Linked DNA regions of Rattus norvegicus. The protein of the gene in region 3 purifies or fractionates together with the protein of the main gene of each other region. This does not show direct contact. Links are inferred from orthologs where the notes say so. Each region holds a gene or a part of one and is shown on either strand. Other genes may lie near its edges. The genes, in order: Tlr4, Ripk1 and Ticam1.

What was found.
Region 1: the proteins of Ticam1 (region 3) and Tlr4 purify together in Homo sapiens (affinity purification with western blotting; 3 studies listed by BioGRID). This does not show direct contact. The link is inferred for Rattus norvegicus from reciprocal best matches to the Homo sapiens genes TICAM1 and TLR4.
Region 2: the proteins of Ticam1 (region 3) and Ripk1 purify together in Homo sapiens (affinity purification with western blotting; 4 studies listed by BioGRID). This does not show direct contact. The link is inferred for Rattus norvegicus from reciprocal best matches to the Homo sapiens genes TICAM1 and RIPK1.

What each region holds. Positions count from the first base shown.
Region 1 is NC_086023.1:85,164,098-85,167,747, reverse strand, and holds part of Tlr4 (toll-like receptor 4 precursor), read right to left. Parts: intron 937-3,650; coding exon 770-936; intron 1-769.
Region 2 is NC_086035.1:31,074,329-31,078,441, forward strand, and holds the start of Ripk1 (receptor-interacting serine/threonine-protein kinase 1), read right to left. Parts: upstream 2,840-4,113; 5' UTR 2,538-2,839; exon of another isoform or gene 2,483-2,537; intron 1,835-2,482; exon of another isoform or gene 1,666-1,834; intron 1-1,665. UniProt on the Homo sapiens protein: Serine-threonine kinase which is a key regulator of TNF-mediated apoptosis, necroptosis and inflammatory pathways.
Region 3 is NC_086027.1:1,194,824-1,199,076, forward strand, and holds the start of Ticam1 (TIR domain-containing adapter molecule 1), read right to left. Parts: upstream 2,908-4,253; 5' UTR 1,444-2,907; intron 1-1,443. Other genes in the region: Plin3 (perilipin-3), read right to left, coding at 4,065-4,253.

The DNA.
Region 1 (3,650 bases), on a different chromosome or scaffold from region 3:
CAGTCCTGTTGTGTCTGGGGGACACTGCTTATTGGAGTCATCTGAGCCCTGAGGGGAAGGCTTGATAAAAATATACTCTTTAAGACTGGGTACTATAGCAACTATTTCTTGCCCACAGTAGATGTATTGCTTGGATATTGGCATCTTTTTCTGAAGGTATTGCTTTTCTTATTCTCTACCCTCTTTTCTATTTTAAATATTTCAGGTATCTTGCAAACCTACTCACATACCAAAATCTTTTCTGATCCTCTCACACACATAAAAAAAACAGCTCTTCTTCTAAAGGACAAATTGTGTTGCCCATATTTTCCCATATTTTATTACTTACGTTTGTTGTAAACTACAGTATTAGTTTGGTTAACATTCGTTTGATTTGTGCTATGTGTCCATTAACCAGGACATGACTTTAACTTATTAAAGAAGATTTTTATCCTGCTTAATAATTAGGAGTATGGGTTTTGTATCTATAAATTTTTGTTCTGTAGCTTAGATGTATATCATATAATATGTGATCCATAAATACCTAATGAAATAGTTTAAAATAATATAGAAGTTAGAACTGCCCTTTGATATTCTTATTTAGCTGCCTACCAAATAGAAACCAGGTAAATAAAAGTAACTGTCCCAAGGATTTACAGCAAGGACTAAGTCTACTGAATAGATGAGTAAAGGAAATTTACTTAGAAACATCTAGGTCTTCTGAGCCAAAAATGCAGTGATATAGAAATAACTACTTCACAGTCTGCAGCAAATAAAACTCATTCATTACCTGGATAAATCCAGCCACTGAAGTTGTGAGAAATTGGAGAAGCTATAGCTTCTTAAGATCTTCAGGGGGTTGAAGCTCAGATCTAGGTTCTTGGTTGAATAAGGGATGTCATGAGGGATTTTGCTGAGATTCTGATCCATGCATTGGTAGGTAATATTAGGAAGTACCTGTAAAAAATCACACAAAATGTTATTCTTTTCGACTGTATGTGTTCCCACTCCTCTCCAAAGATGAATAATGAGATGGTAAAACTCCCATATACATGCTAATCAATATACCATCCACCTATCCATCCATTCTTCGTGATTTATTTTGTTTTTAAACAAGCTTTCAGATAGCCCAGTCTTCTTTTAAATTAGCTATACAGTCAAAGATAACATTGAACTTCCTATCTAATTGCCTCTACCACACAAGCACTGGCATTTCTGGGATATGGCCTCATATCCATCCTTCTCCATTCATTTACCTACCTCTTCATGTTTATAAAACATCTTATTCTACATATCAGGAAGAAAAAATGTTCCTTGCATTCTCAACGTGTTAACATTCTGCTCCAACAAAATTATAATTAAATGAAGAACAGTGAAATCAGGTGTTAAATGACCGTCAAGTCTGAAAACCTTGGTTTTATCACATGTGTTCTGTGTCACTTGGTACAAAGTACATCTTTTATATTATTGTTCTTTGAAATTATAATTATATCATTTCCCCTTTCCTTTTCCTCTCTTCAAGTTCTTATTCCCTTTTCTTTGCTCTTTTTCAAATCCATGGTATCTTTTTTTCATTAATGTATATGTTTATGTGTAAGTGTATGTGTGTTTGTGTGTGTGTGTATATACATATATATATATATATATATATATATATATATATGCCTGTATTATATAAGTACTACCTGGTCGGCTTGCGTAATATTACTTATATATATGTTTTCAGCAATGACCGGTTGGTATTTAGTAACCAACTGCTGGACTCTTCTCTGGGGAAGATGATTTCTCCCACACTATAAACAAAGATCATTACAGAAATCACAGCCAATGAAAATTCAGGAATCTGGAGCCAAGTACATGTACAACACAACTCCCATATCTACAGATCAGGGATCATTGCAGCAGAAGAAGCTGAAAGAATATGAGGGTCAAAAGGTCAGGAACTTTACTGTGATACTGTGTTTCCTAATGTCAAAAGCTACACCCACAAAGTCTTACTAACATGACTGCCTAACTTGAGTTGAAAAAAGACAACAACTAGACATGCTACCATGGACAGAGTCCATGACCCTATCTATACAGGAGTCCTTAACCCTATATAAAGAACTAAGGAATACTGAGTGTGGGACAAAGCTTTGTTTGTTTGTGTGATGGTTAGTTTTTTTTTATAATATTTTCTATGAACCTCACTAGTTTTATGTAAAATACATGTAGGTTTGTACAGAGTTTTATGTAAAATTATTGCCATTCTAACTAATTATCTTCATTATATATAGCCACATGGAGAATACTAATAAAAATGTACAGACATGTCCTAGCTACTGACCTATTTTTGACAATTGCTTTTGGTTCTTAGGCTCATTGACTTTCCCAGTTTGGTACTGGGATCAGAGGCAGTCTTTGAGTGCATGGATTCCAGTGGTGGAAAATAGTACTCAAGGTCGAGTGTGTTCTCTATCAGAGTCTCCGCCTATTTTTATCTGTTTTCTCACATTCATTGTGAATTCTATGCAATGCATTCCATGTGATGTCATAACTATATGATTTCATCCAGCAAATGCTTTGTTTAACCCAGTGAGTTTTGTTTTCTTTTATTTAAAAGCAATGGAATTCTCAAAGGGCTAAATGAGATCAGAGCTTATCTCAAAGCTTGCATTAATTAAAGTGATAAATATTAATGTTAATTAACATTGGCTACTATTGACTTTTTGCTACATATTAGCATTTACTTACATCTTATGTATTTTATACTAATCTTCAAAAAATCCTTTAAAAACGAAGAAAATAAAAAGATGGGGTAATACACATACAGTCAAAGAATTTGTATATATTCAGGATCCTTCGTACATGTCTACTTAAATTGTATTTGTACTGGCTGGTTTTGTGGGTCAACTTGACACAAGTTGGAGTTACAACAGTCAAAGGAGCCTCCCTTGAGGAAATGCCTTCATGGGATCCAGCTCTAAGGCATTTTCTCAACTAGTGATCAAGGTGATCAAGAAAAAAGGACCTAGAGCATTGTGGGTAGTACCATTCCTGTGCTGGTAGTCCTGGGTTTTCTAAGAGAGCAAGCAGAACAAGCCAGGGGAAACAAGGCAGTAAGTAATATCACTCCCTAGCCTCTGCATCAGCTCCTGCTTCCTAACCTGCCAGAGTTCCTGTCCTGAGTTCCTTGGGTGATTAACATCAATGTGGAAGTGTAAGCTGAACAAACTCTTTCCTCCCCAGCTTGCTTCTTGGTCATGATGTTTGTGCAGGAATAGAAACCCTAAGATAGTACTCATCATAGGATCCTTGAAGACAATGAATCTAATAGAGTAAGTCACCAGTCAGAAACTCTTCTCTTACCTTCTTTTATTCCCTTCACAGGTTTTGATGGCCAGGCAAATCTATAGTCTATACAATATTTTCCAAATGCCTTTCATTTGATGAAATGAACCATGAGCTTTGATGCTCTGATGATTTTTGTTTGCTATTTTGTTTTCGAGGCTCAGAAAGGGGGATAGTGACCTCTCTGTGCTCAGTAGACATTTTTTGATGAATGAATGATAAATATTGTCTAATTGATGGGACAGAGGACTGCTTAAGCCAAATAGTATGTCTTGTTCTGCTAAAGCTGAAAAGCTAGACACAGATTCTAGATTCAGATTGGGAAAGATGAGCAAGGAACT
Region 2 (4,113 bases), on a different chromosome or scaffold from region 3:
CAGCTCCAGAGTCCTACTTGCTTACATGTTAAATTAGCACTTAAAGACTGAATTGAGACTACCCAGCAGGTCCCTACAGACAATCTATGAGACTGAGAATGGACTAGTGTGGAGACAGAAGGTGTTAATATTACTAGGTGTTCCAGGCCCAATTCCTCCTTTCCTATACATTTTCTGGGGCAAGAAGTCCTGCCCAGTCTTCCTCATCTCAGATATACCCCTCCCTCTCCAGCCACATTCTTTTAAACCCCTAGTCAGGAAGACTAGAAGTTTCTGGTCTGAGTACTCTCATTTCCTGGGTTCCAATCTTAAGTCTTCCTATTATGAGATGTTTACAGAGCTCGCACGTCTCTCCTCAAATAGTTATTTTAAAATCGTTCCTAATGAACTGTACAGAGGCAAAAAACAAAACAAAACCACCACCAACAACAAAACCACCACCACCAACAAAACCAATCAAAACCAAAAAACCTGTTTGTCCTCAGTGCCTGGAAGAGCCAAACACATGGTAAACAATTGTTAAGTGGTAAAAAAATTCTAAAAGAAGAACTATTTAGTTGTTAAATAATAAAGGATATAATAAAACAGATCATAAACTATAAAATGGATTATATGGCAATAAAAAAACAATATAGAGAAAGACACCAAAAATTCACTAACATTGATTTTACATTGTAAGGCAAATTGTTCCTTTCTTCTGTATACTTTTGTTAAGTCAGTGTCTTGTGTGTGCCTAGGCTGGCTTGAGATTTGTGATCCTCTTGCTTCAGTGTTGGAATTACAGCTGTAATTACCATTCCTGGCTCTTTACATTTTTTATTACATTTCCTATAATAAACACAAATTACATTCATAACAAAATTACGTTCTGAAAGAATTACACCTTAACTCAATGGCTGTGTATTCTGAGGATTCGAGTCTGAGACAAAGTTATGCTTAGTGACACAAGCCTTCAAGCCAAATACCAGGAAGGCTGAGGCAGGTGGATCTCTGGGAATTCAAGGCCAGCCTGGTCTTCTATGTAACTGGCTTCAGGATAGTAAGGGCTACACAAAGACACTCTGTCTCGAAAACAATAAACAAACAAACAAAATCATACAGACTTACCCAGATTAAATTAATATTCTACATTAAAAAATATGGGGGTGTACTGACTAAATTTTAAAAACTTAGGAAAACTATGTTTTTAAAAAATAAGTATTATATCCATGTCTATATAATAAGATACATCTGCCAGAATAATATCCAACCAAAGTGTGGGAAGCTATTTTTTTTTTTTTTTTGGTTCTTTTTTTCAGAGCTGGGGACCGAACCCAGGGCCTTGTGCTTCCTAGGCAAGCACTCTACCACTGAGCTAAATCCCCAACCCTGGGAAACTATTTTTGATTCAATTTCCAGATCCTACTGAAGATATTAAGGAGTCACACACTAAGAAGTAATATTACTTCTACAGTGCCCAATTTGTAAGTTGTTACCTTGGACATATTTCTTAATACAATCCTGAAAGCTCAATATCATGTGCAAAATAGCAAAGAAAGAGAAAAATGAAAATTAAAGTTAAGAATTGTTACTACTGTTTTGTCAGTAACACAAACAAAACATCCCGAATTTTACTTAAAATAAGGCTAGTATATTTCTGTATACAATGCAGCTGTGATGGTTCACCTTTCTAACAGGCCTTTCCAGTGGTTACAAAATTACACGACTAAGTCATTCCATCCCAAAGTTCACTCTGCCACTGAGTCTTCATGTGTTAAGAATACCTTTCCGAAGGTCTTTTGTGGCATTTCTTAAAACAGCTTCACAAAATAAAAGAGCAAGGAAATCAAATGATCTGCAAGAGACAATGAATGAGTCACCCTGGACTGCACCATCCAATCTCAGAAGACTCTGTCCAATGTTTAGGTGAGGAGAATGCGGCCTATCTTTTTCACAATTCAGAGAGTGTCTGCAGCAATACAAAAGCAAATGCTACTGAGGACCAGAGAAGCCTTGGATGTTTGATACTAGTCTCTCGTCGAGGTTGTGGATCACTCCTTTTTCAGCTCGCCTCAAAGATAAAGATGAAAGCTACTGACTGCTTTGCAACCTTCTACTGCCCCAAGTACAACAGTAATAGACCCTTTTAAAGAGTTGGTAGGTCCAGGGTTGATAGATTACATTTAGGTAACCTAGTTTGGGCACTAACGCTTCAATAAGCCGTCATCCCTACCAAAATAATAATAATAATAATAATAATAATAATAATAATAATAATAATAAGAGAGATCTGTAACCGTGGTCGCGGCGCAGATGTCCACCTTCTCTGTCGCGACTTGAGCTAAAACTACCTCAAGTGTCCACCCTCCCGCTAGATGACAGCAAGTCCCGCGCTTTCCGATTTCCGGGTACGCTTGAAGTCCCGCCCATCACCCGGTTTCCGGAAACAACGAGCCCCGCCCTCCGGTCCACGCGCAGAAATCGCTCGGCCCCCGCCCCTTCCGGGAATCCAGCTGTTGAGGAAACTAGCGGCGGCCCGGGCCCCGGCTCTGACTTACCTTAGAGGCTTTTCCGCGGCCAAGTACTCCGGCCCAGGTGAGGAAGGACGGGCGGTGGACGTCAGGAGCTGCTCCTCGCTGTGGCTGCCGGGCGGGGATGAACCTGGGCCCTGACTAGGACCGGACGGAGCTAGGTGCTGAAGTGGCGTCCAGCCACGCCCAGGCTCCTCACCGCCTCCCACCGCGTCCACCTCGCTCCTCAGCCGGTTCGCACAGCGGCTGGACTCACGGGAGGTGAGCGGCACCGATACCCGCGCTCCGGAGGCCGCTCTGGGGGCCGCTCCTACGCGTCTAAGGTCTACTGGGGTGGTGCTAGGCTGCGACCGCCCTTGTCTCCGCCTCTGCTCACGCCCCGGGGCGGTGTGCCCGGGCGAGCGCCAGCCTCCCAAGCTGGGCATTGAGCTCTACCGAGAAAGCCAGGTTTGCAGCGCGATGATCCCGGAAATCAGCTAGGAAAATGAATGGTAGTTTTGCTTTGCCTTACAACTAGTTATGAGAGATCCCTTAAAAAAAAAAAAAAAGAGGCGGTCATAACCGCTGTATGTCAGGGCAGAGACCGCTTGGCCGCTTCAAGCACTGCGTGCGACAGTGGCGTTTGCAAGCTTTGTGGGTTCAGCGGTGACAGAACCCCTGGCAAATTATCATTTATCTGTCACGGCAGGCTGTCGAGGAAGAAACGTGATTAATTTGTAGCTCTCTAAAGTGGTAATTGAAATCCCAAGCAAAAAAAAAAAATAAGTGTTACTACAGGTGTCATTAAGAAAGAAGTTGCACGGTAATACAACGATCACTTATTGTCAAAGAAAAAAAAATAGGTCAAGAGAGGGAGAGGATCACAAAAGATACGATTAAGGAGACTTCCTAAACCCTACACACGACCACCACTTTAAGAAACTTAACAGCCATTTTACCAGATACCATGAAAATAAGCATTAAGAAGATGCTCAAGGGGGTTGGGGATTTAGCTCAGTGGTAGAACACTTGTCTAGCAAGCGCAAGGCCCTGGGTTCGGTCCCCAGCTCTGAAAAAAAAAAAAAAGAAGATGCTCAAGGTCCTAGGACACTAGGGGAACTCAAATTTGATGTCAAATACACATAAAAAGCCTCCAAATCCCAAACATTCACAGATGTTAATGAAGACATACAATAACTGAAAATCGCTTATATTCTTGCAAATAATGCAAAACCTTTATGGTTACTATATGATTTAGTAGTTTCACATACAGGTATGTACCCAAATAAACATACATCTACTGTATAAACACATGTACTTAAGTTGGGTTTTTTGTTTGTTTTGAGTTATTTTGGGGGTGGAGTGCGTGTGGTGTGTGTGTGTGTGTGTGTGTGTGTGTGTGTGTGTGTGTAAAACTGCACATAATGTGGAGGCCAGAAGCCCACCTCCAGAAGCTCCTTACAATTCACCTTTTTCTTTTCCATACATTGTCTTACTTTTGACTTTAGCTTGTGGAGTGGACTAAGCAGTCTGCCCAGTAAACTGCAAGAGCGTGTCTGTCTTCAACTCCAGGAATGTCGCCATAGCCAGTTTTTTGTTTGTTTGTTTTTGTTTTTGCAAGGGT
Region 3 (4,253 bases):
CTCAGCAGAGGCAGGAGGATCTCTGAGTTGAGGCCTCTCTGGTCTACAGAGTTCTAGGACAGCCAGGGCTACATACTGAACTCTGTCTTGAACAACATGAACAGGACAGTGCCTGGTACACAGCTAGTGCCTAGTAAGTGCATACCGAGGTCTGGAGATACAGTTGAGTTGACAGAGTACTTGCCTGTCATACATGAGACCATGTTCAGCCCCCAGCCAGAAAAGAGAGGAAGGCAGCACAGAGAGATGGGAAAGGAGAAAGAGACATAGACAGGAGAGATAAATGTTTATTGACATAATTAAGCAGTGAACAGAGTAGTTGTGTTTTATTTGCTTGTTTCTTGTCACTGAGACAGGATTGGGCCTTGCACTATGTAGCCCAGCATAACCTTAAACTTCTGATCCTCCTGCGTCTACCATGTAAGGGTGGCATTTTCCTCTTGTCCAAGCTACTTGAAAAGCTGAGACAGAAGGATTTTTTTCTTCTTTCTTGTTTGTGTTTTTTGTTTTTCAAGACAGGGTTTCTCCGTGTAGCCCAGGCTGTCCTGGACCTCACTCTGTAGACCAGGCTGGCCTCAGACTCAGAGATTGACCCTCTTCTGCTTCCTGAGTGCTGGGATCAAAGGTGTGTGCCACCACTGCCCAACAACATGAGGATTTCTTGAGCCGAGAGATCAGGGTCAGTCCAAATGAGTTCCAGACCAGCCTGGTCTGCATAGTGATACACCCTGTCTCAAGATAACACAAGTGACAAAAAATAAAAGCACTTATTTTTAAGAAAGAGAGGAAAGGAAAGGGAGAGGGAAAGAGGGGGGGGGAGGAAGGAAGGGAGAGAGACAGAGTGAAGGAAGCGGAGAGAGGTAGGAGGTATGCTCAGTAGGGAGAGTGCTCATCCAGCATGCCTAAGACCCTGTGTGGTATCCCCAGAGCAGCATAAACCAGGACTGGTGGGTGGCTGGGTGAGCGGATGGCTGGGTTTGTGGGTGGATGGGATGTAAATAGGCCTCTCTCTCTTTCTTCCCTGGCCTTCTCCTTAGAATGGTCCAGGGGCCTGTGTTGGGCCAGGAACAGAGCAGACTGCAGAAGCTGCAGCAGGCCAGTCCTTACAGGTGGCAGCTGGTGCCTGTGTTAGTCTGGGGCAGGGGTTTTGACAGAGGACACTGAGGTAGAGAAAGCAAGGGGAGGCATTGAGGGTGAAGAGGGATGGGGGTTCGCTCGCTGTTGGGGCTGGAGGAGACCTCTAGTTAGAAGATCTAGGCATCTGGGAGTACTAGGGGCTGGAGAGAACCCAAGATCACAGGGCTGGGTTGGGGTCAGGAGTTGGATTGCAGATCTGAGTGTCCAAGGGAAAGGGCTTGAGCAACCTGAGGGCCTGCAGGTGGCAGCCCAGCACTCACTCCTGACCCTGTGCCTGCCGTGCTGTCCCCTCTGCCTTCATCCTACCTGGCTGTGGGGGTCCTGAGCTGGTAGATTTCGAGGTCCCTGGTAGCTGCTGGAGGAGGAGGGAGAGTTCGGTTCCACCCCTTCCTCCCTTCCGGGTCTTGTGGGGAGGAGAGGATGAAGTCAGCAGTCTCGCCTGTAATCACATCATCTAGCTGAGCCAGGCCCTGCCCTCCGGCCCAGTGCCCTGGCGCCACGTGGAACTAGGCAGGGCTTGCACTCTGTGGGGCCAGAGCTGCGGAAGAAGGAAGGAACCCTCCACCCCTAGAGAATGTTAAGCTGGCAGCCACAGAGCTCAGCTAGTGACATACTCTGGGGTTTCGCAAAGTACCACGTGGCTAAGTTCACAGGGAGCCTGGTGACTCACTCTTATCAGTCCAGCAGCACACAGGAAACTGAGGCAGGTGGATTGCCCCAAGTTCGAAGAAAGCCTGACCAACACAGAGAGAGCTCCATCTCAAAAATAAATTAATACAAGATAAGTGAACAGAAGTGCTGGAGGCCAAAAGATCTTATACAACTGTTTAGTTGTGAGTATTTCTCAGCTAGGTGGTGAAATTACAGGCATGTTTTAAAACTAAGGAAGCTAGGCTGGAGAGATGGCTCAGTGGTTAAGAGCACTGACTGCCCTTCCAGAGGTCCTGAGTTCAAATCTCACCAGCCACATGGTGGCTCACAGCCATCTGTAGTTGTAAATGATGCCCTCTTCTGGTGTGCACCCTCTTTCGGTGTGTCTAAGACAACTACAGTGTACTTAAATATAATAAATAAATAAAAATTGGTGAAGCTAAATTCTGAAAACAGAAAAGCAGCTATTTACAGAGGACTGTGACTGGGAGGTGGCTGCACAAATGAGCTACCCCTACCCTCTTGCTGGGGATTCTAGTCAGGAGTATCTGCCTTGCATCACTGAACACAATCAGGTATCAGAATGGCCTCTCCATTTTTGTGTTTACATGTGTACATCTTTGTGGAGGTTAACATCCAATGTTTTCTCTTGGTCACATCATTAGGAGACAGCTGCCTGAGTCCAGTCATCTCAGGAGCAAGTTCCATCATCCTCCATCTCCATGTTCCCAGGCCCCAGAATCCAACTTGCTTTTTAGATATTTCGTGTTTGTTACCCAGTAAAGGACACGAAGAGGGAGATGCCTATCCTGTTGTCTAAACCAAGACACAAGTCATACATGTGTTCCCGTCTTAACCGGCTACATCTGCTCACCACTCCTTTGTCCTTTATCACTAGAGTCCAGGCCAGAGTCCAGGAAGGGACCTGGTTGTAAAAGCTGACTCAAGGGCCCTGAAACCAGGTGACCAGGATTAAGTCCAGTCATCCACATTAACTTCTTTCTAACAGCCCAGCCGGCTCCCCCTCGCTTTGTGTTCCCATTCCTATAAAAAGGTCTGCGTAGTCTCTTTGGGAATCAGATCCCAAATTGGCCACCTACCTGCCAGTGCAGAAAATAAAGCTTGCATTTATTTATTTATTTATTTATTTATTTATTTATTTATTTATTTATTTATTTCGGAGCTGGGGACCGAACCCAGGGCCTTGCGCTTGCTAGGCAAGCGCTCTACCACTGAGCTAAATCCCCAACCCCAAAGCTTTTATTTTTAAGCTTTGTCTCTGAAGTGAGTTTTCTTGGCTTCCACCCCAAAGCCAAGAACTCTAAGCACTTTACCACTGGAGCCATCTCTCCTGCCCTGGGTTTTTCTGTTTTGAGACACAGTGTCAGTGTGGCCCAGGTTAATTTCAAACTTACTAAGTAGCCAAGGATGACCTTGAACTCCTGATCTTCTTGTTCCCACCCTCTGAGTTGGGATGACCTTGAGGTCAAGGGGGACAGACATTGAAAGTCTGGCAGGTTCAGCTTGTCACACTAGTTCTTCTCCGTATCTCACAGGGAGGAGGGAAAGCAGGCAGCAGGCTCTTGCTGCTGTTCCCACATGGTCATTTCTAACACTCAAGGTGGGAAGACTTGCACTATGCATAAAGCAGAGATATAAGGAAGAAGGCCCCTCCAGGTATCAGGGTAGCTCAGCTGCTAGGAAGGGAACACACAGCACCCGTCTGGTCTCTGAAGCAGGTAAAATTTATTAAGGCATTATCTAAGGGACAGTGGATTCTCAGCTCTCACTTTCTCATCTGAAACGACTGCAACACTCCAGTTCTCCATCCTGTCACAGTTGCTGGATTCTTGGACCAGGTATCAGGGTCTGTCAGAAAAGCTCTTGCTATTCTGGGCCATGAATGCAGGAAAGAAACTGGAGTGGAATGTCACTATGCCTGATTTACTTCAAGACAAGGTCTTACGTAGTCTAGGCTATCATTGAATTTGCTATGTGGCAGTCAGGCTTTGAACTGACCCTCCTGCTTCTACACCACAGGGCTGGCCCAGGATGACAGGCTTGTGCTATCACTATTCATCATCCTCATTTTTTCAGGAAAACAATTTTTTCCAGAACATTCTAGATTCTAGAAAAAATATTTTTGCTTTAAAAAGACTGATGGGAAAAGGTTAAACACGTCTCATTCAGACTCAGAGTAGGGGAAGACCTGCTGTGCAACAGGACTGTTGGGAAAAGCAGTCAAGTCAGATAGGTGTTGGCCCTGGTCCTTCTCCCTACTTCTCTTCAGGGGCTTTCTCAGTGATTCCAGGAGCAAAGGGGCCCACCAGCCACATGGCTGGAGTGTTCTGGGCCACATACTCCACAGTGTGCTCAAGGGCATCTCGGGCTCTGGCTATGTGCTCTCGAGTTTGGGCAAGAACACTGGCTGTGAGGTCCTGGAAGGAGTGGATGCCAGAGAAGGT